Struthio camelus: one gene and its partner. The protein of the gene in region 2 interacts with the protein of the main gene of each other region in a biochemical or structural test. Links are inferred from orthologs where the notes say so. Each region holds a gene or a part of one and is shown on either strand. Other genes may lie near its edges.

Evidence for each region.
Region 1: the proteins of GJD2 (region 2) and LNX2 form a complex in vitro, tested with the Homo sapiens proteins (2 studies listed by BioGRID and IntAct, with this or other methods). The link is inferred for Struthio camelus from reciprocal best matches to the Homo sapiens genes GJD2 and LNX2.

Annotation. Positions count from the first base shown.
Region 1 is NC_090942.1:200,704,043-200,719,392, forward strand, and holds the start of LNX2 (ligand of Numb protein X 2), read left to right. Parts: upstream 1-9,172; 5' UTR 9,173-9,304; intron 9,305-9,380; exon of another isoform or gene 9,381-9,515; intron 9,516-11,583; exon of another isoform or gene 11,584-11,680; intron 11,681-15,350. Other genes in the region: protein POLR1D, read right to left, coding at 1-33, 8,460-8,485.
Region 2 is NC_090946.1:50,667,660-50,683,905, reverse strand, and holds GJD2 (gap junction delta-2 protein), read right to left. Parts: upstream 6,459-16,246; 5' UTR 6,196-6,458; coding exon 6,125-6,195; intron 5,473-6,124; coding exon 4,629-5,472; 3' UTR 3,669-4,628; downstream 1-3,668. UniProt on the Homo sapiens protein: One gap junction consists of a cluster of closely packed pairs of transmembrane channels, the connexons, through which materials of low MW diffuse from one cell to a neighboring cell.

The DNA of each region.
Region 1 (15,350 bases), on a different chromosome or scaffold from region 2:
TTTGCCTCTTTAAGCAACTCTTCTACAGCTTTCCTACATATAAGGAGAGGAAAAAAAGAAAACGAGAACTTGTCACTTTACGCAGTTATGTAAACAAAATGGGAAATTTATTGCTTAATTCTTTTCAGGGAAGAAAGAGGCTACCAAAATCAACTTGACTTTCATATTAACATAATTCATACTCTTACATACCAAGATTATAAAAAATGTTCATATAAAAAGCAATGAAAGATGTTGCAAATAAACAATCATAATACTAATTTCAACTGAAGAGTAGAGAGAGTGTGCAAAACTACTACACTGCACTGGAAAGCACAGTCCTTGTCACTTCATCTTGGGATTGCTCTTCCCTGGTATTACTTCACTTACGTTCTTCTATTTTGAGCCCAATTAAACACCACTAGTAAAATAGCAAGCATATATTTGACAATATAATTTCTATTACTACAACTACCAATGTTAAACTGCACTAGTTTTGGTGTAATAGTGGAAGAAAAGAGCTCACCTCTGTGACTATGATCCACTGTCACCCAGCAGGACTTTGTGACTTTTAATTTAATACTATCTTCTAAAACAAACTGTCTAGGCTGATACTAAAGCAATTAAATAACTATGCTCACATAAAGAGTCATCCGAGAGCGTAAATTTTGCAAATTATAGATAATCCCTGCATTGTCAGTCTTTCAGTTCTTTTTACTAATTAATTTCAATCACCAGTAAAACTTGAGTAACTGTTTTTTCAGTACATGCTTGAAGTTAATAGGAAGATCAATAAATGCATAATGCAAGTCATTTATTATATAAATTGAATGCATAAGCAGCCAATTTGGTTAGTGAACTGTTAACAAGTATATATACCAGCCAGTGAGAACTACAAGACGGAAAAGGAAAGCTACGCACTTGACTGTAAGACGCAGCATATGAAGCTAACCATTAAGAACAGTGACACGGATAACAGGCAGGCTTGACTAATTGAAGGTAGGAGCCAATAAAAGAGGAAAGGTATTGCTGAGCTCTCCTAGCTATGATACGGCAGAATGACAATCAGCGTGCAGAGTACACAGCAAGACAATCATCGTCTTGACAGTACAGTGTGTTTGTAGGCTGTGCAAAAAAGGCAATGGCCAAAAGATTTCAACTCAAGCTGTGAGGAAGCCATGTCCCATCGCATTGCTGTGGGATTATTAGCATACTAGGACTTTGCTGCTTTGCTGTAACAGATTTTTTTAAAAAAAAAGCTGGAATACTAATTCTGGTGTCAAGCCAAGTTTGAGACTAGAGAAACCAAGAGTCATTATCTAGTAACAGAAGCAGGTCTGAGAAGAAAAAACAGCAGTTTAACTTGCTAGATCTTCACAAAAAACTGCCATGCTGGGCTCTAAACATCCAACACAGCAGTTTATTACCATTTAGATTACTAAAGTCTGCAAGCAAAACACAAGGAATTTTCGCTTTAAATGCATACACTGCTCGTGCATAATAGGCAACAAAGATAAGCAGCTCAGACATTCTTTCAGTAGCTAATGAGAGAACTTTATGCAGTTATACAGCAGCTTATATCTGTCAGTTAAGACCTTCTTGAGTTTGTTATGGTTTTAACATAAACCTTTACTGGCTCCCTTAACGCTAGTGATCAAGGATACTTCCATTTGTTAGGATCAGCTGGTGACAGAGTTTTTCCTCTGTCTGCACGACCTTTGGGCACTTCTTGGTTTTCCTTGGTAATGGAAAACAAATTGGTGCTAAATGGGTCCAACTGTAATACACAACAAGATATAGCTACTCTTTTTACAGTTACTTTTCAGTTTTGCATGAACACAGTTTTCAAATTTTATACTGACAGACATGTATCATGGAACTACCTCATCACTTTATAATTATTTCCAGCAAGCAACGTTTTAGTGGAAGAATCACAGAATGGTTGAGGTTGGAAGGGACCCCTCGAGATCATCCAGTCCAAACCCTGCTCAAGCAGAGTCACCTAGGGCTCATTGTCCAGGATTGTGTCCAGCCGGCTTTTGAATATCTCCAGGGAAGGAGACTCCACTAGCTCTCTGGGCAACCTGCTCCAGCACTCAGTTACTCTCACAGTAAAGAAGTTTTTCCTCATGTTCAGATAGTTCAGTTTGTGCCTGTTGCCTCTCGTCCTGTTATTGGGCACCATGGACAAGGGTCTGGCCCCATCCTCTCGACACCCTCCCTTCAGATACTTCTGCACACTGATCAGATCCTCTCTTCTCCAGCTCCCTCAGCCTTTCCTCATATGAGGGATGCTCTAGTCCCTTCATCATCTTAGTAGCCCTCCGCTGGACTCGCTCCAGTAGCTCCATGTCTGTCTTGTATTGGGGAGCCCAGAACTGGACACAGGACTCCAGGTGCGGCCTCAGCAGGGCTGAGAAGAGGGGAAAGATCACCTCCCTCCACCTGCTGGCAACATTCTTCCTAATGCACCCCAGGAGACCATTGGCCTTCTTGGCCCCAAGGGCACATTGCTGGCTCAAGGTCAACTTGTCCACCAGTACTCCCAGGTCCTTCTCTGCAGAGCTACTTTCCAACAGGTCATCTCCCCAGCCTGTCCTGGTGCACGGAGTCAGGCCTCCCCAGGTGCAGGACCCTGCACTTGCTTCTGCTGAACTTTATGAGGTTCCTCTCTGCCCAACTCTCCAGCCTGTCCAGGTCCCTCTGAATGGCAGCACAGCCCTCTGGTGCATCAGCCACTCCTCCCAGTTTTATATCATCGGCAAACTTGCTGAGTAGGCACTCTGTCCCTTCCTCCAGGTCACTGACGAATAACTTGCACAAGACTGGACCCAGTACTGACCCCTGGGGGACACTGCTAGCTACAGGCCTCCAACTAGACTGTGCCACCGATCACAACCCTCAGAGCTCTGCCACACAGCCAGTTTTCCTTCTAGAAAAAGTTGAGATCTGTGCCAGAGAGGTATGCAAATATTCTCAAATTATAACTTCTCTGGTTGATAGTGTGCATTTGAAGGGCTTTGCAGAAGGTGTTTATAACTTCCACACTAGAGGCCAACACTAGAGGAAAGCACTAAAGAAAAATTATAGTATCACTTTTCTATTCACTAATTTTTAATGGTAGTTTGGTTAAAAGTTTCGTCACAAAGAGTCTCTCTCTTACGTGAGGTTATCAGTATGATCTTAGCAACAGCTGGGCTCTAGATATTGGGAATTTTTTTTTTTTAAGTCTATATACAATCACCAGGACATTTTGCATAACCAGTACAGCCATTCATGAAAACTGAACCGCCGTTATTTTTTTTTTTAAATTAAAGCCCAAAGCATTCAAGCTACAAAGCACTTCTAATATATATATTTTAAAGAGCTGCAGTACAGTTTCAGTGGAGCATCACAATATGTTAATATGGTGACACAAATTCTATTAACTTATACAAAAATTATAAGCCATAAAATATGAGAGACGTACTTATTTTGGATTGATTATATCACAGATCAGACTGACTTGGCACCCATCGTTACAGCCTTACGAGTTGAGATCTTCCCTTTTTATCCAACGTTAATTTTCCTAACATTTATCTTTTAACATTATTTTTAGTTACTTCATCTTCTATAAAGCCCTTCTGACTTGCACAGAAAGTCAACTGAGCAGCATAAAGATGAGAGAAGAATTCTCAAGATCATCTTTGAAGTAATGAATGTCCACTCGCCGAACTTATATTCTCTATACAAGTAAGTCAAAAGCTTTACAGCTTTTCAAACCAGGTTTTTACATTCGCTTTTAAAGGACTCTTAGGACTCAGCATTCCTAGCTGTCTTCATTTTTACAGCGTGGTTACTACACAAACATTCCCGTAGCTGCCAGATTCAACACCCATAGCAGCAATATAAGCAAAGGGAACACAGCACACAATTTTCACATGAGACACTATACACAGAGGGATCTGCAGGTAACATCAATTGCAGTAATTAATTGACTACTTCCCAAGGGGGCCTGAGGGGGAAGGAAGGGATGTATTTCTGAACACTGTCATCACTCCAGCATCATTTATGACAAGAACAGCAAGTAGCACTCAAAAACTTGCTGTGGCAATACTCTTTGAACAATCAAACTTCCCTAAAGAACTACAATAATATTAAGGTATAAATACGGGTGTTTTTATCTTTACAAGAAAGTATGGTCCAAAGTCTATTCATATTCCTTAGGGATCAGACTTCTGTTCTATATTCTAAGGTTATGAGCAAAACACCCCTTGCATAAACTCTAACAACTGGTACCACAAATGCACGTGCCTGAACAATGGGAGAATGTTAAAGGCCGCAAAGTCAAGTAAAATCATTCATGTTTTCTCTCGGTCGTTCAGAAAAAGGGTTAACCTTTTTGCTGAAAAAGATCAAAAATATAGATTAAAAAATGAACACAATTAATAACAGATACAGATAAACAGATACACATAAAATTACAGGCAATGAGAACAGGATATGACTACAGAGAAGACTGGATGCTTTTAATTATAGACAGCACTGCCATACCTACCCATGCCATCATCTCATCAACGATCCCCAAGAGAACTGTACCGGCAACGTATTTACTGGAATTACTTCACAGCACACAATCAATTACTGATATGCACAGATCTGGGAGCAGGAGGGCAATAATCAGATACAATTTTGTACAACATCTCCCAGAGTAAGAGAACATTTTATCAAATAGATCTTCTCCAAAGACCTTTGTAGCATTAATAATCAACTGCAGTCTATACCAGTAACGTTCAACTTGAAAAGCTAGGTTATTGAGCTATGGTGATCTCTGAAATCACTGAATGCTTAAATCTACTTTCTGAAGTACTCTAGGTCCTGAGAGCTAGCTACAGGCCCAGAATGAACAGCCAGTTTCTACATCAATTTTATCAAAGTACTTCTACGCTGACTATGTACGCTATTTTTGAGTGCGTGCAGGATCCAAAGTAAAGGGGCCATTGGTACTCAGATTATCTCTGAAAAATTAGATATCAAGACTTTCCATGAAGCCAAGGACTGAAGCTATTGCCTGCTACAGTAGAAGAATGACACGAAAGGCCAATGTTTGTATAATTGACTCCTACGAGTTAATTTGTCCTATTTGACCACATTTATTACAAACACTGACAAAAAGGGATATCAAAAAGAAAGCCTAAGCCACAACTAAGAACAAGAATAAAAAAAGGCACTAATATGCCACAGACTTTCTACCGTGTGTTCAAAGGCAAAGATATTCCACATCAGGCATGCTCATGCTCTAACTCTCCCCAGGCCAGGATTATTTCTTACCTAGCTAAGTCTATTTTCAGCACATTTCCGTGCTGATACTCTCAACGGCTTTGAGGAGTGAGGATACCACAAAATTTCAAACAACGACTTTAGCTTGCAAATCACCTTTTTGGCCACAAATATGGGAAAGAATTACATACTGAACTAAGTAACATGACAGTTAGATTTTTAACTTAAAAATAACAGAAAGAATAGTGAGAACTGTCGAATAATTTCTCCAAGGCACAAAACTTACTTGCTGGAAACTATAATCGGGACAGCAAAAGTACTAGACTACTGATTGTCCACAATGCAGCTCTTGTGTACAGAACGTTATCTCCTTAAGAGATGCTTATTTCCAAGTACATGATACTCCAAGCAAGCTTGACAGGCAATTCTAAGAGGCTATGATACTAAAGGTTGTGAAATATCCAGAGCTGTTGAGAGACGAAATTGATTATGGAAGAATCTGGACACACAGCACAGCAAAGCCACTTCCTTTATATTGCCAGATTAACCACGTATTTTCTGTGCTTTGAACACACAGACCCATGAAGACAGCTGGTGGGAATTGTTTGGATAAGGAAGAAAATAGTGACCTCTATCATACCCCAAAGGACATTTAGTAGGAATTAAGTAGGAAAAGTAAGTACACCTGCTTATAGGGAAAATATAAGATAAACAATTCTCAGTAGCTGATTTGTAACCTTTTTTCCTACTTCCTCTAGGATCATATACATTTTACTCTGAATTATATATTAATAGAACGTGGCTTAACATTTTACACACTTGAAGTATTTACAGCTTTTAGGGTTTTAAATCCCAGGGTACGCAACAGTCACATGGTAACACAACTTAGCATCAGCTTTGGTAGTGACTACCACTTTCTATCAAAGCGAGAAAAACATCAAACACAAGATCAAGCGAGAGCCAGACACTGTAAAATGGAAAAATAGAAGCAACACCGAACAAGCAGAACAGAGAGACTTCTCTTTAGATGGTCACAAAAAACTGGGACAACTGACTCCTCTCAATAAATCGCTGTTTGGAAACCTGACAAAATGCACTTTAGGCCTGAAAGAACCTGCATTAAAGTAGTTACAAACTTTTTTTTATGCTACATTAACTAAAACCACACATACAAAAAGTCTTACACTGTTATTGAAGACTCGTGCACTGAGATAAGACTAAACTGAGATAAATACGATGAAAAATATTCCAAATAAAAACGTTTTTGAAACATCAAAAATCTACCTAAAATATTTATGCTGTGGCTGCAGAAGAAAAATGCCATTATTCGTAGGCCAAAGCAATATTTTAAAGGGCCAAAAATTACGAAAGCTAACTGCCATAGCTGTACATCTGACATAACGTGAGTATGATCACCAGGTAGCTGGATATGAGACTAACGAGTCATGTCTGTAAGCCAAAGGATAAAGAGAGGTCAACACTAGACTCTTGGGGACTGTATGGAGAAGTGTGATGGGAAATGCTCAAATACGACATTTAAATGCACACAGTGTGAACTGAATTAAGGGTGCTACTAACAAAAAGAGCTTTTTTGAATACTGAGAGCATGAAAAAGTAATTAGCTAATGAAGAAGTGTAAGACAGATCCAAGATAGAAAACAGTAACCAATAAGTTCACTATACTGTATATATAATATGCAAGGAGCTGATTAAACATGTAGCATGGATTCAAGGTGCAGGACAGTTAAACCCTTCTGTGCCTCCTCTGGCAAATAATACACAGTTTCCTCCTCACTATCTACCTTACTGCCATGAAACAGGAATAGTATATTCAGCATCAGCTTGAAATAAGAGGCAAATTTGGCTGGTGGAAAGGAGAGCGTCAGAAAGAGACTCTGGAGCAATCTCTCGCAGCTACGCCCCAAACTGCCTGGAGAACCACAAGTCCCCGGCACGTCAGCAGCGGCCAGAAGAGAGACAGAACGTGGAAGGAGCTGTGACAAAGTTTAGATTTGATATGATTAAAAAGGGGGGCATAAATTTGGAACAGCAGTCATAAAAATAACATTCCTGCATATTTAGAAAGAAACTTGAATTTCTGTACTGATGATGTGAAAGGGGAGGTAGCGTACAAGAATTAAAGGCCTCTTAAAAAGCTTTGTGCTCTCTATGCCTTCCACCACGCCAACACTATTACATTTGTCCTATTTAAAATACTTGCTAAATATAAACAGCGAGAGAAACAAGTTATTTTCTACCGACTCTTAAAGTCAAGGAGAAGAATCACGAGAAGAACGGTTCAGAAAGCCTCTAGTCATCGCTGTCCCCTAAGTTTTCTGCCTGTTAGAAAAGTGGAGCGAAGCTCAAGGAACCATGTCAAAAACCCACCACGTTAATCATTTCTTCTAGACAAACCTGCAAGAAATAGCATGATTATCAAAAGAAAAGATCTACCTGTGCTGTAAATACTTAGAGTAAAGCAGGAGTAAGGCACGCCTGCGAGGACTGAATATTCGGAGAGAGAAACGTGCGTTTCAGTCCGCAATGTTTGCTTGGGAACACCACAGCTCAACCACAGCTCAGCACGCGCAGCAAAACACATCGGCTCATCCACGCCAAACCGCAAGGCACGGAGCACGTTCCTTTTTTGACAAAACGACCGCAAACATTTTGCCATAATACAAGAAACGGGTCATTTTAACAGCTGGTCAGCTGGCAAATCTCTAACGCTGAGAACCAAAACCGACTAGAGTACAAGTTTAACTGTGTGTTTTTTTTATTTTTTTTTGATTTTAGCAAGTGAGGCTAATTGCTGACTTCCAATTAATGAGAGACGAGCCAGCTAATGCTTTTAAATCTTCTTCCTGAACAGTACCAGCAGCATTGCGAGGAGATTTGACTTTTTTCTTTTCAAGCAATGATACACGTATATATTTTCACATTACGCCGGAAAAAAATTCATTTAAAATTCATTTATTTCGCACAGCAGCGCCCGAGGGGAGGGTTCAAAGCTCCGTCCCGAAGAGGCCGAGGGAGGAAGCCGGCCGCCGCGCACCGCCCACCCCGCGCGGCCTCCCCGGCCCCCCGCGGCTCACAGGCCGCCGGGTCGCGGCCGGCACCACCTCCTCCTCCTCCTCCTCCTCCTCCTCCTCCTCCTCCTCCCGCCGCCGCCGCCGCGGCCCAGCGAGGCCCGGTGGCGCAGCCCGCCGCCCCCCGCTCACCTCTCCAGCTCCGGGTCCTCCTCCATGGCGCGGCCCGCGGCCGCCGCTCAGGCGCAGGCCGCCGCCATGTCCCGCTGGCGGCCGGCGGGGGCGGGGCGGGGCGGCCGAGGACCCCGCGGGGGAGGAGCCGGGGCGGTGCCGGCCGGCGGCCGCCTCCCCCCTCCCCCCTCCGCACCTGCCGCCCGCCCGCCCGCCGCGCCCCGGCCCGGCCCCGGCCCCGGCGCCGCTGCCCCTCCCCGCCGGCTGCCGCGGGCGCCTGCCCCCGCCCGAGAGGGGCCGTTTCCTTCAGCGCCCCCCGCCCAGTTGCTGCGGGCGGGCGGGCTCGGGAAGCAACTCTGGCGCCAGTCCTGGCGGGACGGGGCGACCGGGGCTGTCCGCGCTCGCTTTCCGCTAAGGCGAGCGGGGGCCGGGGACGGGCTAAGAGCGGGCTTGGGGGCTCCTCGCCCAGCGCCGGCAGCGGCGGCTGGGGCAGCGGCGGCGGGGGTGCGCCGGGGCACGACACCGCCCCCCGCGCCGCGGCGCTGCTGCCCGCGGGGGCCCCTCACCCTCCGCCCGCGCCGCCGCCGCCGATCAGGCGAGCGGCGGGGCCACCCCGGGGCTGCGGCGCGGCCCGCCCCGCCCGCTCCCATAGGCTGCGGCGCCCCCGCGCCCGGGGCTGCCGCCGGCGAGGCGCGGCGCGGCGCGGCGGGGCGGGGGCACCGGCACCGGCGCGGCGGGGACGCGGCTGGGCCAGGCGGGGCGGGGCGGGCTGGGCCGGCCCCGGCCCCGAGGGCTCTGCGCGCCCGGCATGGAGGCGAGCGCGGCGCCGCTCTGAGGGGCGGCGGCGGCGGCGGGAGCCGGCGGCGGTGAGTAACTTCCCTGCCCGGCTGGGCGGCCGCTGAGGGGCGGTGGCCGGAGGCGGCAGCGGGGCCGGGCCTGCTCGGGCCGGGCCTGCCTCGTGGCGCAACAAGTCTGGGGCGGGCGGGCCGGGGCCGGTGTTCGTTCAGGTCGCGTCTGTCGCGTTGAAAAAACCGTCGCGGCTGGCGAAGCAGGTGGCAGCGCTGAGGCGGCGGCGAGGTGGGGGAGCGGCGGCGGCGGGACGGGGACGGGGACGGGGACGGCAGCCCCCTGCGGCTCCGCCTGCCGCGTTTCTGATGCACAGCCCGTCTGGTTGTGCACTGCGCCAGAAATCCGCGGTTAAGTACTGCTGGGCCCCATCTAATTCCTTTTTTAATTACACGATGTTGTGGGTTTTCTTTCGCGCTCGCGTACAAAGTAGGAGTTTCTGTTACGCGCTGGCTTTGGGGTGTCGTTGATCCCCCTCTGGAAATAAATCATAGAAGCGTTTGAGCTTCTTTGTTCAAAAGAGAAGCTGCTCTGAGCTAGGCTCTTATTAAATAAACAGCTGGACCGACCGATTTCTACTCCGCTACCCAATTCCTTGTGGCCTCGTGATGTTTTATTCTAAGCTGCGATCCAGCAGCAGATCAAGGAGGCTTAGGAAGAAACATCAGATGGTTTCAGTTAGTGTCCCTGCCCGCTCGGAAAATAACCACCTTAGTACTGCCATATGCCGCCGTGACTTTTATTAAAACAGATTTCCTCAGGGTGGAAACAAGGTATTTAAGCATACTGTCTGGGACCGTAAGGCTTAATAGGGCCCTTCTAGCATTTACTTTTTGAAGCTCACTGAGTGAGGAGTCTTCTCTTCCTTAAACGCAGCGCTGCAGAACGATAAACCCCGAGTTCGGGAAACTGCAAAGAACGCCCTTTTGTCCAGTGGGAATCTTTTTACATAAAAGTTTATGACATTTCTGATTTTTAAGCTTCTGTGTTATTAAAATTCTAAAATCTCAGTAAACACAAAAAAACCTCCTACACATTGATTTTTAGATCCGAGTTTTCTATAACAAATTCCTACCCTACTGACTTCAGCGACAGATAGCCCAGGGCCTTGGACTCGGGTCTGAGGCTTGCACAAACAACATGATTTCCTAACCCAGGTCTTTAACCTTTTTTTAAAATTTGTTCAAACATGAAGCTGCAATTTAGGAATGAAACTTTGCAAGAGGAGTGCAAGCTGGTGACTAGGTGGAAAAGTTTTGTTCTCTTGAACAGTTAGGTTAATTTAAAAAATAAGCCTACTGAAGCCTATCATATATAATTAGAAAAATATTGGCTTTGACATTGCAAGCTTTTGCGTGTGTGTGGAGCCGACTCACATAAAAGCCTTGATGACCTTAGTGAAACTTTGTTTTGTCATAAGGCTTTGCCTGAACTGAACAGCCTGTGAGTCTCACTATACGTTTCTGGACCAGCATCACTAAAAAACAGCAGAAGTTTGTTAGCTTCCAGTTAAAACTGTCTACTTGAAAATACTTCAGAATATTCCCCTGCTAGACTTTTTTTTCAATCCTATCCTTCTCTTAATAAATGCTTTAAATACAGCCACTTAAAGCCACCGTGAAGCAGAAGTGAGGCTTACAATATCACTCTAAAAAAGAAATGTGTAAGGATATGATGTAGTTTAGACACTGGAATAGTATACATTAATTTCATAAATCAGCAAGATGCTGCTTGTTTAAAAAGCTATTAGATATTAAGAGCTGTAATAAGAAAACAACCTTTATTCAGAATGAAAATGCTTCCTGGTGTATGGAGGCACCAGAGGACACTGGAAATCTGTTTGGTCTAGTCAGTGGTTTGTCTTTGATATTTGAAAATTCTTTGTTGATTTAGTTTGGAAAAGCAATTTAATGTGACACCGTTGAATTGCATGCTTCTAAATTGCTTTATTAGGTCAATGGAGTTTTTTTGTTTAGAAATCATAGTGCCTTTTAAGGATGAAAACCCTTTTACGTGTCATTATTTAATTATGTAATTGTTAGGTCACGGTGTCTAGAGAGCAATAAAAGACAATAACATTGTAGTCTCTGCTTTTTATGGCCTCAATTCTGTAGGCATTCATGCGTATGTTTAATTCTGAAAGTTCAAGTTTTTCTTGTGGAATATGGTGGGTCTATTCTTGGGCTTGATGTTCAGCCTGTGCGTGAATGTCTTGAGGATTTATGTTTGCAAAGTTTGGGGGATAAACCTGTCCCATTTTCGTCCTGACTGTTTTCATCTTTTGCATGACTTCGTATAGGTAGATGACTTCTGGCTTGGCAGTGAGGGCTGGCTAACCAATGGACATGTAACGAGAAACTCCCAACCGTGCCATGGGTCTCCTTCCCTTACAGATGGTAGGAGTACTGTAGAGGAGCTGACTTCATACTTGTGCATTGTAGTGGTACAGACATCTCTCTCATTTTTGGAAGTGTTTTTGATCATCTGAATTTGATTAGGTGACAACCCTTTGCATTCTCTTAGATGTTTATTTGAATGAATGTTAGTTTCACAAATAGCTTAGGACAGTTTCTGTTTTGGAATTTGGGCTGGGAAGAGAGGGGAGGTTTCTAATCTGAGCCTCTCTGATAGTGAGCTAGTGCATTATATGGTAAAAACAAAAGGCTGTGTAAGGATGCAGTTGTTTGCTGTAAAATCGGGTAACTTTTGAAGTTTTAAGATTTTAGGCAAGATTTTAAGTTCCGTTTTATGATTCTGAAATTTTTCCATCTAATCAGTAGAAAGTATTTTAATTAAAAAAAAAATTGCGCTAAGATACTGCAAGATACAATGTTTTCAGCCTCGTTTTTAAGTAAGCAAATTGTATTGTTGCTCTGTATTTGTGGTAGTTTAAGACTGTCTAGAATTTTCTTGCTGTTATCCCAGCAAAACAGACCAAATCAGGTAATAACGGAATTGTGAGGTTATGAATGTGCTAGATTAATATTATTTATAAGTTAATTTTCACCTGACAGTCTGCAGGAAGGTAGAGTTGATTTGCTTTGGGCCATAGAGAAGAATGTGTTATTACATCTCATTGCAGAGAACTGCTAATGCTTAAGTATTAGTTAATGGAGTATACATAATTTATACGTAGAACCTTTGGCTGTAGAGCAAAATTCAGTTTCACTGAGGAATATATCCAATATATGAACAGATACTGTTTTAAAATATTGTAAAAGGTAGTTATAAACAGTTCCATAGCATTGAAGGAAGAGGTAATATGAATTATTTGCCTTGTTCCTACCAAAATGCTTCTAGGAGTGAATCATGAGTGTAAGTGGTGTGCGTTAAAGGAGGACAAAGCTGTAGTTGGGAAAGAGGAGAAAAACAGTAGTTGTGTAAAGGCAAAGCAGGGCTTTTGGAGTAGGTTTCCTGGGACAGTGTGGCGGTGTCAAAAACTCTTCAGCACGCTGGGGAAAAAATGAGTCGCGAGCTACCTACTTTTGCACTGATAAATTCTTTACAGTAGGAGTAATTTTCAAGTGTATTATAGGCTTTTCCTTCGCGAGATAACCTCACAATTTCGTGTTCTCACAGTTGTCGCCTGAGAGCTTGCACAAGCCCAGTGGAATCTGTCAGCACATCACTGTTATGGTTAGAAAATAATCAGGATAAGCACAGTTGCTTATTACTGACTGCAGTAACGTTCAGGTCAATATTCTTATCCATGGGAACCTTTACGAACTCTTTTAGTTGTACTCCGGTCACATAGATTTCTTTTTCTTTGCATACAATTTTTGTTTGAATCCGGGTTACTCACCTCCACAGACAGCCCTCTCTTAATGCGATATTATTTTCAAAATTTTGGCTCTGAAAGGCCAAAAAATATTAGTGTCAGAGGATTCTAAACTCTTATCTTTTTATGGGTTTCTTTGCTTTTCAGACTAGGTGTTCATCCTAGCTCTGAGTTGACATATAGGAGAAAGAATGATGGGGCAGCAGGGTTTTTTTTTGCTCGGAGAAACATAGGCAACTTCCAGCAAAGCCAGCAGATCCAGGTAACATAGCTAACTTGTAGAGTGAAATCAGTTCATGGAAATAGTTTCCAGTGGATGTTGTATTGTACTTGGATAAGCTATCATGTTCCGCCACAGGAATTCTGTGTTTGCTTTGAAAGGACTAGTGCATGGTGGGTTTTTCTTTTTTTTCCCTGATATATAAGTGACGTTTCATAATCTAGACGTTTTGTGGGGTTTTTTTCTTTTCTTTTCTTTTTTCTGGCAATCCAGTTTTGGTTGGCATCCCTGAACAAGGTCTTAATCTAAAAAAAGGTTGGCCGGTATCAGTAAACCTGCTTTTTTGATGCATTTTGTTTTAACGTAACGTGAGTGGGCTTTTGTCTCTGTACATGGTATTAGTCCGCAAATGAAATAAGCTTTACCAGCAAATCTTCTCTTATGGCAGTATAATAGAACCTCTGCTGGGCTTTTCTGGTGGTAAAGCAACGTCATCCAAATCATTCTCCTAATTGACATTGCTACGTGCTACACCAGCAAAAAGAAAAAAAAATACCTGCAACCCTCCACGGTCCTCTTAAGAGAACCATGCTTTCGTTTCAAGACTGTTTGTTCTTCCATCACCTTCAATAACGATCTTTGTGCAGAACAATACATTCAGAATCCATCCTATGCCTGCTTTTCCCCACTGTATGAGGCACAATGACTTTGCTATCCAGAGAACAGATTCTGAAGAGTCACTGTGCGGTTGTGATGCATGAGTCAGCCTACACCTACCCAAGTAGAGTAAGTGACATTTCAAGGAGGACATTGGAGATGTTAATGTCCATACACGCCTCATGGGTGGTGCGCTGAATGTCTGCCGCAAATTAGATACTTATCTAGGTATCGTAATGGGCTGCTTCTGCAAAACTGGGGATTAAAAATTAGAGAAGAAATCAAAGTAAAAGCCTTTGCCACTTCATGCAGAGGGATGTCTTATCATTACTTGCATGGTAATGGATTATGTCTTTTTTATAGATCTGCTCCCCCCAACCCATACCAATGATTTTTCTCCAGTTGAAATTTCTTTTCATGAAGTTGTTTAAAATGTAGTCAGACTGAAATAACTGTAAGGAAAAGTTGATTGATATGTCGTAAAACCACATAGACAGATACTAAGGTGATGTGTAAACTTTTTGGTCATGTTTAAAGAGTTTGGTATAAACCATAGTCCATTGTGATCCTGTAGCTTTAACTATGCCTTTAATACAGCATGTGTACACAGAAGCTGTTACCCAAGCTCCCTCCGCTCCTTGAGCTGCCTGCATTGTTGCTTAAATTAACTTTTTAAAGCTAACAAGTCAAGCTGCTTCTCGAGCAGTTTGATTAAGATTTCCTTCTGTCCAGCCTTTTTCCTGTCTTTTTTTTTTTTTTTTTTTAATTACTTGGCTCTAGGTGGGTTTTCTCAGCCCTTTACTGTTACAGACGGAACCTAATGAGGCCCACCAAGTCTGGATATCTTGATGAGCTAGGAAAATAGTTCTGTATCCCTGTGCTAGATCTTGCCTTTTTCTTGACTTCATGCTAATCAAAAATTAGCATAAATCAGTTCCAGGACCGTTTCTACAAGTAGTCCATAACTAAGCTGTCATTGCTGCTTCTAATTAAGGTTGAAGCTTTAAAAAATCTCAGGGTTTCCTGCCATATATTAAGGCCGTATAAAATTATATATGTTTGATATTGAAAGCTTTCAGAATTTAGATTTGCTTCTTAATTATTTTAATGCCTTTTAAGTGCTGAAAGTAAGGTAATCTCATCTAGGTTATAGTAAGCTAAAAAGTACAGATAGTCTTATGTACTTGTGAGTCTGTACGTTTTATCTGAATGTCTCATGAAGTTGTGTATGTTAGCTCTGTTTGTACGTCAAAGCTTCATAAAAATCGAGTGACAAACAACCAAATGTGTTTCATTTTAGAATCACCGGTTAAAAAAAAAAAAAAAAAAGATATCATTTTACTTAATCTGGCAAAATAACCACTGTTCAGTAGCTGTTATCTGCTGAATGGCTCAGCATGTCTGCTCAATG
Region 2 (16,246 bases):
TACTTCATACTCCTGATTGACTGCTATAATGCAAGTTAACAGAGAGAATATGAAGTACTTCCTAATGCAATTTTTCTTCACAGATATCCTCAGTGTTTCAGTGTGGAGGGAAATAGGTTTAGAATCTGGCTTTAGGCTTACTAGATGATACTAACCTTGTAAAGTTTACAATAAAATATAATACCTGGAAAAAGTACACCAAAATGTTCAGGAATGAGTGGGCAGTACAGAAATAAGGTGATCTCTTCTGTTAATATCATGAAATAATGGAATGGAGTTTCTCCTCAGCTGGAAATTGACTTGGTGCCACAAAAGACAAAGTCCCATTATTGTTGAAAGAACAAAATCAGACCCTAAATGAAGAAAACTCTGCCTGTTTTCTCCCTCATGTTTCTCCATTTTTTAATCCCATTTCTATATTTTCAGATCAAGCAAAAGCCTCTAACAGGTTTCACTGAAGGAGTAAGGGGGAAGAGAATATTTACATTCAAACAAAATAAAGGCACAAGGATGCAGGGACAATGTACATCTTATTCATCCTCTTGCCCTACAATAAATGTAGCTATACCCTTAGCTGTGCATGAAAAAGTCTTCCTCACATTTATCCTTAACCTTTCATCTACTCTTTTCCTACAGTCCTACATATCAACAGCTCTGTCCGACCCTATTAGGTATAAGGCAGGACAAGCGTTGAGCCCTTTCTGGAGTTTCTGAGCTTTCCTGACTTCTGACTTCTCTGGTGCAGAACAACTCAAAATCAATCTCACTTCTTCCTTGATATGTTCATCACAGATTCACAGAATCACAGAATGGTTGAGGTTGGAAGGGACCTCTGGGGATCATCTAGTCCAACCCCCCTGCTCAAGCAGGGTCCTCTAGAGCATATTTCTCAGGATCGCATCCAGGCGGGTTTTGAATATCTCCAGGCAAGGAGACTCCACTACCTCTCTGGGCAACCTGTTCATCTCACTTGATCTGCTCATTCTGCAGACTTTCTTTAAGAAATACAAAAGCCTTTATATTTCTTCAAAGTCAATGGTCTATAAAGCTGAACTAATTATAGGAACAGTCAATTCAAGTTACCCCCGCAAAATGTAGTGTTCATCGTGAAAAGCAATTGCTAGATATTTTTAAACCTTTTTACTGTATGTCATTGCAATTTAAATATGTCTTGTAAAATAGTTCGAAAGCACTATGTAAATTATTTTTGAAATTCCCATTGGTTTGAAAAGCACAAGATAAGGGCTACATATAAGTTAAATAATCTCCATTGTTTTACATGATATGATATTAAAGTTCCACAGAACCAATATTGCATTAAATGCTATTGTAGCTTTCCAAAAAAGCTTACTGATCATAAATTTTATGTTTGCATTTATCATGAGATACACTATTGGCCACCAGTACAAAACAGGATATGCAATGAATGAAATAAACGTAAACTGAATGCTTATAGCTAATGTCTGATTCTTCCATGGATATCAGTGCTAAAACTCTAATTGATTTCAATGAGGCAGGATCAAGGCCTGAGTAGGCAGTAATGTTCCATTCAGTGTCACAGTCACTCGGTTCTGTTTAGTTAACACACTTTTCCATTGCTGTGATAATTTTAAAACATTTATTCTGTAAATGAATAGTCTGCTCTCATGCAAACAGTCCATTAGCATTAATCATATGACTCTGACATAATGCATTGACAAAAAAAGAGTTTACGCTATTTCTCTTGTTCATGACAAGCAGCTGGCAAGAAAAGAAAAATGATAATTGAAAAGGATGACTAGAACAACCACTTTCTTGATATTATTTCACTTCTCTTCTGAAATAAGAAAAGCCATATACTGTTTAGTGAAAATATTGAGGATTACATTTCTGTTCATCCAGATATGAATGTTTGCCTAGGTTATCACTGATCCTGCTGCATAAATTAGCATCTATATTTCCTTACATATTTCTCTCACAAAATTCTGAATACTCCCAACTTACAGTAATACAAAATGTGCAACTGCATAAAATAATGGAATGAACTGAGTCACTGAAGCTAACTTTTATAAACAGACCCTTTCTTCGTCTTATCTACAGGATTTTAAGGTATTAAAATCTTGTAGCTATCAAGACATGCACGTTCACTAGTTTTGACTAAATACTACTTTGAAGCTACTGAAAATAACTCACATTAGGGCTTCTGCATAACAGAAAATTATGCTAAACCTGATCCAAAGCCCATTGAAGTCAGTAGGAGTTTTTTCCTCCAACTTTAATTCACATTAAATTGAGCCCTTTGCACACAATCTCTCATTTCTTCAGCATTAAAACAATGCTTATTATGGTCAAACAATATTTTCCCCTTCAACTTCTACTCCAAAGGAGATTTTGTAAAACATCCCCGGACTCTGCAAAATGAAAGTCAGACTTGGATTTGCGTGTCAAATAATAATCTTTAGAAGCTTGTTACATTGCAGATGGAGATTTTAGCTGCCATGTTGTACTTCTAAAAATAACATGCAGTTTTCCACAGTGAGCATGCAGTCAACTAGCAATACCAGTGTGCTTTTATATCACAAAGAACCATTTGACAAATCTGTTTTTGTGGGTTTCTGTAATCAAATTGGAAATACTATTCTTTTTTGCATATAAGGAAAATTACTTTTAAAAGATTTAAAAATATGACAAAACTCAAAGTCTTATGTTTCAGAGTGGAAGGAAAAAATCCACAGATGAAAGTGATAATATATTGTGTAAGCATTAATCAACATTTTTTTAAGTGACAATGCTGGCAAATGATAAGAATGAAATGTTGACATATCTACTGTGAGCTAAGAAGAAAAGATTTATATGCATGGTCTTTAGGCAAAAATACTGTAAAATCTATTATCTGGTCAAAATAAAACACGATCAAGAGCCCATTTGCAAGTCTGAGCCCCTATCTCCCTGTCATGTTATAAAGTATCCCCAAACTTTCCAGCACCATTTTGGCCTTTTTCTTTTAAGATATCGTTTACTTAGCACTTGTATTGTTTCTGAGTCCTGATCCAACTCCTACTGTTGCCATTAGGATAGTTTCTGTCGACTGCAGTGGTAATTAAATAAGGTCCTAGAGTAAAACTTAGTGTCCTGTAGTAAAATGATCACTATTAATAGAGATTCACTTGTGACCACCTTCGTGTCGATGGGACATGAACAGTGTATTTTTTGAACCAGCTGGAAGGCAGAAAAGCTGCAGTTGCTATTTGGATTCTCCGATGAAGAGCTGCAATTGTTTCAGTTATAGGTAAATGTACTCTGCCTCTTCCCAGAGTGACCTTGGCAGCCAGCTGTGTTGCCCTTAGCATCAGCAGAAAGAAGGCTGTTGGTATCAGTGGGCTTTGGATCAGGCTTTAAAGACAGGGAAGCATTGCTTAAGGGGGAATACAGACATAATGGATAGCCCTGATTTCCCAGGTTTTGTCCCTTAGTGTTCAGGATATCAACAAGACACTTCAAACCCTAAAGAGTGATTATTGTAAGTCAATTATTTCGGCCTCATATGTTTCTGTAACTGTATATAATAATAAAGAAGAGTAAATCTCCCTAACTTACAAAAAAAGGCAAGTACTTTATTTATCAATAGAGATTTTAGCTGCTTTTTATACCATTGCAATGACTGAACAAATAGCATAAAATAAGCAAAGGAGAGTATAAAATCACTTTATTCCAGCTGGTATCCCAAAACAACCTTTTGTACAGAGTTAGATGTTTCAAGTATGGCACTTATATAAATAAGAGCAGAGAGAAGGTGATATATTCACAGTTAAAAGCAATGAACTCTGTTCCTTTGGTATGTGTGTCATCATAGGTAACTGTAGGTAAATACATAAGCTTGCTGACATGAACCAGCTCCATCTTATTTATGCACATATTAGGGAAAAAACTGAAATGTACTGAAATATTTTGTAGGTCACAACTAATGTAAGATGATTAAGGTCTCTGGTGTGTGTGTGGACAGGCAAACAAAAAAAATGGCAAAATTATATTCTGCATTTATTGTTTAGCATAACTAATTGTTGTACAAACTATGTTAGAAAATAGCTAGTAATACACACCAGAAATAAATGCTGTGATGTGGACAAACAAAATAATATCAGACATCCGTGAAATAGGTGTGCACAGATGTCCTGATCAAGCTGTGGTCAGGTTCCTAACAGTGCTGTTACCCTCCTTTTTAAACATGCTTACATTTGCACATTGCAACAGTTTCCCCCACCCCACCCCATCCCATATAGAGTATCCTTGCAGATTTTTAATAAGAACATTCTACACGTTTACAACAATTAGTCAGACACAGCCCAAACTGTAGTCTCATCCTAATGATGATCAAAAAGCTGCTCCATCGAAAGATAACACCCAATCATTAGAAAGAAAAAGGATAATAATAGTAACTGTGCTGTAAGGCTAGATCAAGCATGGTCTTATAGGTGTTTTTTCAGTCTTTTACATAGCACTGCATTTTGCATCTAGTTCAGTAAGTGCAGATCCAATACCTTAATGGCTTTCTTGGTGGTTTGATAAAATGCTTGCCTAAGCAATGTACCTTTCTCTAATGGTGTCTGGGTCTGTTCCACCTGGCACAGTGTTTCAGTTCTGTCACAGCCTCACACATAAGCTGAGTCACTTGACTGAGTCCTGCCAAAGTTAGGCATGCTCATTCTTGGCAGGTCCTTATTTCTGATTTCATATATGGATTTCCTTTTTGCCTGTACTCCTCTCACTGCCATTTTGATCTTTCTCCAGCCCAAGTGGTTCAGTTCTGCCAAATTGAGCACCACACAAATCCCACTGACAGCAAACATGAATACCAAGAATACAGTCTTCTCAGTGGGTCTAGAGACATAGCACTCTACTTCTTTAATGCAAGGGTATCTGTCACATTCGTACATGGAAGGGACATTGAATCCATACAGAAAATATTGTCCCACTAAGAATCCAATCTCTAGGGCATTTCGAAAGACCACTTGAATGATATAAAATCGAGAAATGCCTTCTTGCCGCCTCATCTTTGACTTTGTAGTTCTGATAGCAGGATTGGGGATTTCCTTCACTTCTAAGCAGTCTGGTTCTGCCTCTTTGGTGGAGTTCTCGGTGTTCTGCAGCACCCCATTGACAATGGTGTTCTTGATTTTCTTACTGTCCTCACGCTTCATTGAGTCCTGGTCCCTCTCCAAGGTGAGGAAGACAGTGGAGTACCTCCGTTCCCTCTGCTTAGCAGACTGGTGAACAGAGTACGTTATGAAGCAGAGGCTGGGAGTGCACACCATGATGATCTGGAACACCCAGTACCTTATATGAGAAATAGGGAAAGCCTGGTCGTAACAAGCCTGATTGCAGCCTGGCTGCAGCGTGTTACACACAAACATAGTTTGCTCGTCATCGTACACCGTCTCCCCTACAATGGCCACAATGAGTATCCGGAAGATCACCACCACGGTCAGCAGGATCCTGGAACAGAGAAGCCCGTCAGAGCGCGCCGCTGCCCCGCGGCCGGGAGCTGTCCAGTGCTGACCGGGCCGGGGCCGGGGCCGGGGCCGGGGCCGGGGCCGGGCCGGGGGTCGAGGCGCCGCGGGGCGCCACGGGCGGCCCGGCTAAAGCCCGGCAGTGGCGAGCGCGGGAGCGCGCCGCGGGCACAGCATCGCCGCGGCGCGCTCGTGTGCGTCCGTACGGATCACCCGCGGGCAAAAAGCTCAGGCGGCCGTCAGCCCACCCCCGCCCCTTACCGCGCCTGCCTTTGGAGAAAAGGCCATCAGATGGACCGCGTGGGCCCCCGAAAGCGCGGAAACGCACGGCACCCGGCTGCCCCGGCGGCGGGACCCCGACGGCGGCGGAGCGCCGCCAACTTCTGCCCCATAGTTGCCCCACTGACCCCTGGCTCCTCGGGGACGGGGCGGGCGTTGTTTGCACGAGCCCCTCGCCTCGGTGACCTATGCCGCGTATACACACACACACACACACACAGGCACAGAGAGAGAAACGCCACACGGGAGTGCTGCCCCACACGGCCGCGAACCCAGCCGGCTGGCCCCACTGCCCAACCCTTCCGGACAGGGGAGGTGAGCCCACCGGAGCCTCCCCGAAGCCTCCCTGTAGCCCTTACCTCCCTATCATAGTAGAGTGCTGCTGCACGGCAGCTTCCAGTAGCCTCTCTAGAATAGTCCATTCCCCCATCGCTGTTCATCCGGAGACAAAGACTTTTGCAAGCGGCGGGGATCTCTTCACTTCTTCCTTTTTTTCCCCTCCTTTTCCTTTGAGGGGTGGAGGGGGAAACAAACAAACGTGCAACCCCCCTCTGCCGACAGCAGTCCGGTGGCGGGGAAGCGGTTGGGCCCGGCAGCTCTCCCGAGGACGTCCGGGCCGGCGTGGCCCGGCCTGGCTCGGCTCGGCTCGGCTCGGCACGGCTCGGCTCGCCTGGGCTGACCTCGGGGCCCCGCGGCGGCCGCTCCCGGCCCGGCCCGCTCCGCTCGTGGCGCGGCGCGTCTCGGCGGAGCCCGCGCCGGGGAGGGAGGAAGGTTGGCTTTTAATGTCTTGCTGCCTCTAATCTGCCTTTAAGTAGTCTCCGCTTGCGTCACTGACAGGTTGGTGGAGAGCAGCCAAAAACAGCGCTAGGATTTTCTCATTTTTATTATTCTGGTGAAAATAAATGAACATATAAATACAATAAAACCGAAAAAAAAAAGAGGAGGAGGAGGAGGAGGAGGAGGGCGGGAGGAAGAACTCTCCGCGCTGGCACGAGGCTCGTTTTGCCGCCGAGTGCCTCCTCGCAGGCGGGCAGCGCCGCGCTCCCGGCCGGGCGCCCGCCCCCGCCGCGCCGCCGGGTCCCGCTCCCGGGCGCCTCCGGGCCCGCGCCGCGCCGAGCCCCGCCGGCCCCCGCCGGCCCCCCGGCCCCGGCCCCTGCCCCGCGCACCGCCCGCCCCGCCGCCGGCGGCACCGGACCACCCCGGCAGGGCCCCTTCCCAGGCAGCCCGGCGGGGAGCAGGCGCTGCCCCTCGGATGCTGCTTTGAAAACTTCCTTTGGGGTATGACTGTGACGCTTTGGCCCCTCCAGCTACGAGCACCTGGCTGCCAGCTGGAATTCCCGGGGGGCTGGCAGGCTTTACTGCCCTCCCAAAGTTTGACCGTGTTTTCTGCCACCCACGAAACAGTGGTGTCATGGAGCGATAACCTTACCTATTAGCACTGCTTACCCTTGGAAGATATTGGACTTAAAACTGCATTTTCATTCTCACCTGATTACAGATGTGTGCACAATATAAGCATCTTTGGGGAGAAATAAAATGCATAGCCATTCCAGAGAATTCGGAGCTTGAGGGTGGATTCATGCTAGGAAAGTCACCAAACCTTCACATAAATTATCTATAAATTGTGCAAGAATAAAGTGTTCTGGATAACTCCTTGCATTATAATCAGTCCACATATTTTATCCACCTGAATTATTATACTGTGTTTAAAATGCTATTTTCTATTTTGTTTGTACCTTCAGGGACTGAACTAGGGGTACTACAAAACAATTCCCCATAAAACATTGACACCAGCTGGAATCAGCTACTTTACTCTCTGATGGGGAAGCCTAGTGTGTGTTCTGTATTCTTCCATGAAGACCAATTACAATACCTTCATACCTGCTGTTCGCTTTGCCCAATTAATCTCATTTAAAAGCAACATAAGAAAAACAAGAAAAGTCGAATCACAATCTTCCTGCAGCCAAACTCAGTAAAAACAGACTGTTTCAGTAGCAGAACTGCTCAGACCACTGTAAATAGTGTAGTCCTTTGTGCTGCTTGCAGCTCTTTCATGAACCAATTCTAGCTTGTGTTAATGACATCAAGTGTTTTTTGAATAGATGGGACTAAGCTTCATCTGTTTAGAGGACATCTGTGTGTTTTAGACACTCCAGGGTTGGCTGCCTTTTCAGTTGGAGAGTGCAGATAGATCTCTGAGTCACAGGATACTGGGTCTATTGCCTGATTGGATCCCCTAACCTTTGAATTGGGAAAGTATCAAATGAGGGAAGAGCAGTGTACAGAAATAGGTAGATTTTTCTACCTATTCTACCTATTTTTCTCTGCACAGAAATAGGTAGATTTTTCTTCTCTCCCAGTCAGGGACCTGTGAAGAAGCATTCAATAATCTGGATTGTTTCCTTCCCACGCTGTTGGGAGTTACTGGGCAGACTGAGTTATCACTGTCTTTCCTTGAAATCTTACTATATTTTTCCTGAAAGTTGGTTCTCACACTTCCTGCATTTGTTTTTTATGTGTCATTTGTAAAATCTCCAGTTGCCTGCAACACGACAACTGAAAAAAGAGGGCATTTCTCTTTTTTTTTAAGTGGAATCTAGTATCTGGCTAAGTACCCTGACAGTTAACTGTGTCATGTGGACCCCGAAGCATCTGTTTGCAGATGGATCTGAAAATGAGAGAAATCAAAACAGTAAAGGGAGCAGTAATGTATGTGTAGAAGGAGAGAAAATGGGGAGTATAACAAGAAGCTGATGATGATAATCCTATTTAGCAAGACCAAACAGTGAAGGAAAGCCTATGGCTGAAATTACTGAAGAGAGGGGAAGAGATTTTCATTCACAGTCAAATATAAGAATTCCTATAAAGGAAAGCTATTCTCCAGCACTGGGATAGAAAAGCCATTTATGTGAGTTTTTATGACCAGGAAATAAAAAATAATCAAATTTTGATCAAATCAAATGCTGAACTTTCAAGGAACAGTCACTTAGTGCTTGCTGTGTGTGATCAGTTCTACTTTAAGTTGATAGTCCGGCTGTGGAAACATGGAAGAAAAATATCATCAATGAAAAGCTACATTATCATCAATGTTGCAAGCCTGTAAGCACTATTTAAAATAGCTTTTGCTGCAAATAGAGTTTAAAGTTAAATACTTTCAGGCATGTTCTTGCAGGAGCTGCATCTCAGTCCAAAGTAGATGACCTATCTTTTCTAACAGTAATCTCATATTCCCCACCAAAACCATATTCATGCGCAAGATAATTGGCCCTAGCTTTGGGAAAGCTTACTGAGTTTCAGACTTCAGTGACTTTGGAGAAAAAGAAAAAAATCAGTGTGAAAGTCTTTTTTGTGATGCCAGTGTACATCAAAAATTACTGGAAAGTTCAAAGGAGTTTGAGCTTTCACGAACTTACATATACAGTTTCTAGAACTATGAAGTGCTGTCTTTAATTAGAGCTCTGATGTACAGTGACAACTGAATTGATAAGAATCGATGGTGATGCTCTCCGAGTGTTTAGTATAACACTCAAGGGTGTATGAAAACTGCAATTATTTGCACTTCCATTATTAGTCACATGCACATCAGCAACTTGTGGACTTACCTGACAATTTGTCTAAACAACAAAGTGCTCTGACTAATCATGGTCATGACTGTAAGGGAGAGTTGTAGACATAAGAAGATTTTCAAATTCTGTAGGTTCATCTTAGGTTATACACCATTCCCCTGAATGCTTCAGCCTGTGGTAAAGCCAGGATTTGAACAGCAGCAAGCTGCCAAGGATGCTATACATGTATGTTGTATACATATGGTATTCACATTAGAAAATCATGCCTACATTTCATTCACAAGCATCCAGTATTATCAAAGCTTTGTCTCTCCCATGTTGCAAAGAACTGTTCCATAATGAAGTAGCAATATTGGATTGTAGCATGTCTTAATCAGTCCAGTTCAATATTTTGTCAGTTGAATATAAAGAAAATAAAATTAGTTTCACAGCCTATCTAAGGATAGGTTTTTAGGCAGGAGGGAGTGTTTTCGCTTATTTTTCTTTATATTTAAAAAGAATAAGTGTTCCACTACAGACAAAATTCAGTATAAACTCTATCGTTTCTAATAGGAGCTCAAACGACCTTTTCAAAAAGAAATCAAGACTTCAGAGTCTTGTTCATGTTCATGCTCAGATAGGACACTGGCTCAATGTTAATTCATGTTAAAATAATATAACCAACTTGATCTTGGATTAGGTTTGAAGAATGAGACTGTATGCCTCCTCAGCTTAGATGCCAAACTGAGGTTAATCTGTCTCTAAGAAGCTATAGGCCAGATCCTCTCTGAGAAATCCAGCCCTTTTGCTCTGCTCTGGTTTTGCAAAGGGTCCAGAAAGCAGCCAGATCTCTCAGGCTGCACGTTTCAAGTACAGAGCTGATCACACTGGGAACACAGGTAACGCAGTTCCCTGCAGCCTAATTGTGGATGGCATGACTGGGGTGGGACAGGGACCGCATGGCTAGTTTCAGACCCACTGTCAGATAGCTATAAATCATAGCATCCCTCCACTTTGCTATTTTCTATGCTGAGGTGAAGCAATACAAAAACAGAATCTAGATTCTACACAAGCATCCCTCACCTACTATCTCCTATTAAAAATATACATTTATCTCAAATTTATTCCAAATATTTTATTAAAATAAGACCTCTCACCTTTAGTACTTTCCCAAGGACCTTTCTTCCTGACTTGTTTTTGTAGTTGTTTGTAGTGGATGCATACCTGCAGCAAATAAATAAATGCTAGGTTTAGATTTGAAAACTACATGGCAAGTTACTGTATTTCATTGTTACATTAAAAAAACTGTTTCTACCAATTGTAGTTACATTTTAGAGACCCCAGAGATGAGCATTAACTTGGAGCAAAGAAAGAAATTTTAATTAAGAGCTGCAAGTTATTACTCAGATCGTGGAAAATGATAGATTTTTTTTTTTTTTAGTTTTTGTGAAATCTATTGCCCCACTTCCACTTTGTGATTGCACTTTCTAACTAGTTCCTCAAAGCACAGACTTTTCAGCATTACTTTTATAAAAATTTATTTCAAACAGTGATACGACAAGTACTTCCTTTCTGACAGTATTTGGTATAATCCACAACATCTCAGTAGTTAGCTACTAAACCGAAAATACCCATTTAAGACCTCTCATAGCCATCTGCTATGCCCTTTTTTCGTTTGGTGCCATGTGCGTATTAATGAAATGATTGCATCAGATTATATATTTTATTCATAAAACCATCTAGGTCAGCTGCCTCCACCTCTACTTTCCCTCTCATTAAAATGAACATTTGTGTGTATGTTGTCCCCTCAGTGTGAGAGTGCAATCCTAGCAGCAGTCAGCTGCTGTGTGCATCTTAAAAAATAAACCCCTTTCTGTGCTTTTTCTTAAATCAAATTTCTTCAAAAGATAATGCTTATAGTCACACCACACCCTGGAGAGTGCATTTTTCCTATAGTTTGAAAGGTGAAGAATTCCCAAAAGGTGCAAGATCTGGATACACTTATGACCAGTATCCTCCACAATAAAAAGCAACAATTCAATAACACTATCATTTTGCTGCTAAGAAATAGGTAACATGTTCTTCACATCCAGCCTTTGCATCAAAACTGTAAGCAGCAGGGCAAGCACTCCTGTTCTTTGTTGTGAGAATGGACTGCAATCTGCTTTTATACACTTCATGCTTGAAAGCAGTAAGGCATCAAGCTCACGGAATCCAGGGCTTTGTGTTGTGCATAAACAGACAAAATAGTCAGTTATCCTAATAATCCTGCCAAGGCTCTGTTATGAGTCAGAGGTCCGTATTTACAGCTGAAAGTTGCTACAAATAGAGAGGTCTTCGGTAAATCAAGGATATTATCAGTAAAGAAGGAATAAATGTGCACATGCATATTCACAGACATTTTAGCTAAGGGTTCATATCTTATGCTGAATTTCATGCAAGTGGGTTTAGTATAAGAAATATTAATGGTGGGGGCAAGTGCTAAGTCAATATTGCAAAATGTTCTGAAGAAAGAGAATTTAAAACATCTAAATGTGATTGCTTTAACTAGAAAACAAATTAAAAATATTGAACTTTTCTAGTTACAGAATATTTTATGCTTTGACAGATAAAATCATTCAAGTTTTGTGGAAGTTTTGTCACTGTTCACATGGGCCTTCTCATGAAAAAATTAACAGCTCAAGTCAATTTCCTTATAAATAATTTGGATATTTTGAGTCACAACTGCATTTACTTCTGGCATACATAGAGCTCCCAATACAGCTGAGTCTGTGCTCCTTATAAACTAATGAAAGTAAATTCCAACTTGTCTGCAGACAGATTGCAGCCAGAAGAAGGAAAACTTCATTGAAAACATCATCCTTATGAACTGACAGGCTCTGGAAGGAAGTACAGAAGTAAAGAAGTCCAGACGCCAAATCATTAGTTGCCCATCTCCTGTTATTCTCTTCTTTCTCTCACCACTGTCAAAAAAGCATTCACATTCTGCTAAAGCATCCATTAATACAGTTTCATGGACTGTGACGGATTTGTATTTGATGCTATTAGATAGTATAAGTGTAAATTTGTGACAAAATCTAACATGGATTCCCATTATAGTCTACATTAGGGTTCCATACTCACTAAAGGAAGAGAGCCTTTCAAAATACTTTGGACATAGACTAGCCTGAAGGATTCTGTATAATCAGATTTAGTAGCTATAATATTCATTGTAAAGATAAAGAGAAATATGCACATACTAATGTAATAATAAATTCAATATGGGAATGATTTTTTCCTAGAGTCTACTCTTTCAAAGATGCCTATTCAGAAAGACAGGCAGCACCATGCAGCTGACTATTGTCTGGTAAAATACCAGTCGATTACACAGCCACTGTGCCAAAACTGATACAGCATATTGGCTCAATTCAATTTGGCAAACCTTATATTCCTCTTTTCTTTATGAATTAAAAGGAGTTATGATTGGTAATCAAAAGAAGCTAGACTTTATTTTTAATCTACGTTATAATATCTTGGTCTCACGCTAGTCAATTTTTATGGTACTAACAGCAAAATTCCCACTGACTTTAGTGCACCCAGAATTTAAAAACCTTTATGAGCTGATTTACATCAAAACATTTTAAAAATCTCTAATGGCCAAATACTGATGATGAGAAAGTTAGTGAGAGTTTCAGAATATCGAGAATAGCAAAAAAAAAGATCAAATAATAAGGACAGGGTCCTGTATATTCGAAATCTAAGTAGCATTTTGAGGCTTCTCCTTTTCCCTAGAAAAAGAATAATTACTTATAAGAAACCATTCTTCAGTATTTCAGTATGAATGCACTCATATGATGCATTTTTTTTCAGACCTACTGCTTTGCTTTGCCTTGTCTACATTTGTCTTCATCTGAATGCTGAATCTCTGTACTCCTAGCTGCTTTCGATTCAGTGACATGTTTTATGGCAGAATTGCTTTCCTTTGTTATGATTGTTACACCACCATATGTCTTCAGTATTCCTTCCCATCGCTCCCCATCTCACCAGTCTCAGAAGAGAATTCACATTACATTAAAGCTTCCCTTTGGAGGCTATGCTGAAACAGTCCCTTGAAATAAGTAGGGCAGTGCAATGATTGATTTGAAGGTAAACTACTTCAGTGAATGGGAGTGAGAAGCAGGAGCTTAGTAAGAAATATAGAGGTTTTTAAATTCGTCATTCAAAGATTCCACAGTTACAATAAAAAGGGGAGACAAATATTTGATATACAATCCATTTATGTACATGCAAACACACAGGTGCATATGTGCGTAAATGCATGTATATGCGTGTGTTTTATAAATAGTGTCTACTTGCATGACGGGCTTGTCCTGAAAAAAGAAAAAGAAAATAACGTTTAACAGAAAATTCCATAGGAATTCCTATGCTATAGGATTGTATGAGACAATTTAAAAGACACATGTGGGGACAATATAATTAAATTCCATATGATTCTAGACATTCTCACAAGTAAGGCCCTATGTAAAAGCTATTGAGCTATGCTTTCACTGACTTCAGTATGTGTGGATCAGGATTCAGGATTATATAGCAGTGAGTTTGAGAGAAGAATCTGATGTATTCTCCAGAGTTTACTCACAGAGTATTTAAAATTGTTTTCTTCTTTCAATTTTAAAAAAGATATAAAAGTGACAATTCTTTACTCTAGAATTTCTATAAATCTCCACAGTTTCATTAGGAAGCACTGGTTCATAGACCCATGCACATCTGGAATTTCACAGGTGGTGATTTAAATTAGCAGTTTTGTCAGTTCCACAACTGTTATTAACAAACAGCATCTGCCCAGTCCTGAGGAGCATGTTTTGTTTTTGAAACACCATTTGTTATCCTTTCCTAAACAAAAAGTTTTTGAGGATGTGCATTTCATTAAATGTTTGTAATGTTTCTGTCCCAAATGGAGCAAATACAAATTTGGAATATCAAAATTTTCTGTGAATCAAAAATATTGAGTTGCATAAAGTTGTGGTCACGCTCTTCTATTTCTTTTATCCTACAGAAAATTGAAATGGTATATGTTGATTTAAGATCTTTATGTTGTGAAATCTTTGATTCATAACTTTTCTTTCAGAATCTATCAGAGAGCATGTATTTTTGACTATGCTGCAGGAAAGTTGTGACATAAGTAAGAGGAAAAAATAAATTAATTCTTCAATAAAACATTGCAGAACACACACAATCATGCATTATTTATTTCTGTGCTTTTCCTAAAGAAATTCAGCCCTGTGCATAATGTTGGTATGGTACTGGAAATTAAACTTTATTTTTCTGGATAACAGAGAAACCCACGTAATTTCTCACATAGGTCACAGTTGCTCTAGGGCTGCACTGATTTACACACATCCTATGCAAATCTGCCCTCATTTTTAGCTAATTACTTTACATTTTTGATTTGGAAATTCTGCTGCGTAGCTGTTTGCTACCCCTTTCATATTTTTCTGTACCAAAGTGGGGACTGTTTTCCTATGATAAACATATTTATTTGATACCTTGCTCCATAATCTAATCCTTGCTTCTTAATCTGTGTGCATCTCAGGAAATTTCACAGATATTCCATCTGCTTTACTGGGTGGGAAACGGAGCAGGCAAAGAGGTTCCTTTCTCTACCTTACCCGTATCTCCTTTAGGGCATTCCTCGAAGGTTCAGGGCCCTGATCTGGGCAGAGCGGTTCATACTAACAACAGTGCCAACCAGCTCTTGCAACAGTTGCTGGGAACTGTGTCTGCTAGTGCTTGGCCAGCTCCACATCTAGCTAAGGATCAAAGAAGAAAATGAAAACCTCATTCTCCATCTCTCCAGATTAAGCCCCTAATGCAGATCCTGAACCATAAAGTCTTTCACTTAAACTGTTGGTCAACTGAACTTTAAAAGATACAGTAGTATAACAACAGTGTAATAAGCTTACGCTTACATGCAAAAGGTAAATATTTTGTGTGTACATTTTTATCAAGTGCTATTTCATATTTGTTCATTAACAAGATGTGCTGCAAATATTTCATTGGGCTTTAGCTTCATTTTCTGTTTTCCAGGTTTTTAAGCATCTCTTGCGTTTGTGTGCCTGTATGTGCTTGGCACAAAATTGAAAAAAAAAAGAAAGAAAGAAAGAAAGAAAAGTTTTTCTTCAGTTACCCCCTTCGGAAGATCCGTATTTTGCACACAACTCCCTCAGTGCAGACTTGCTCAGGCTTGTTCAAACTAATAAGGTGGCCACTCTTCCTGATGTGGGTCAGAAAGCCTCCCTTTCCTCATCCAGATAATACCATTCACTGTCATCCTCCTTGTTCAGCGCAGAGCTATGATGGAATCCAGATTTTCTTGTGGAGACTTCACAGAACTGCTGTGTGGACAACTTGTCTCATCCCATAGCCTTCACGCTGCCTAAAAAGAGGAAATGGGTTACAGCGAGCCAACAAAACAGAAGGACCAAGGCATTAGCTGGGAGTCCTGCTGGCAGATCTGCTGTGCATGAGCCCTGCACAACCTCAGTGCACAACAGGGCAGATTAGCAGCCAGGCACCGTGCGAGTGCATTTACCTTCAAAGTTGGAAACCAGCACAGCTTTCAGGCTTGGTGTGAACTACGCAGAGAGTCAGGGGCTGAATTCTAAGCTGAGTGCAGGGGAGAACCTAACGATAAGATGTGAGGACAGCTGCTGGAATTTATTTTCAATCAAATAGTATAACTAGTCTGATTTAGGTGTCAGATTAAATAATTGCTCTGCTATAAAACACTTGTCTTGAGGATATGTGGGCTGGCCCAATGTTCGTTCTTAAACTTTACACTTAATGGACGTTAGAGTTAAGTGAAGATAAACCTTTTCCCCCATCACCATCACTTTCAGACAGTGATTTTGAGGCCTTATATTGAAACACAGATATCCAGTATTTTCTGAAAACACAGAG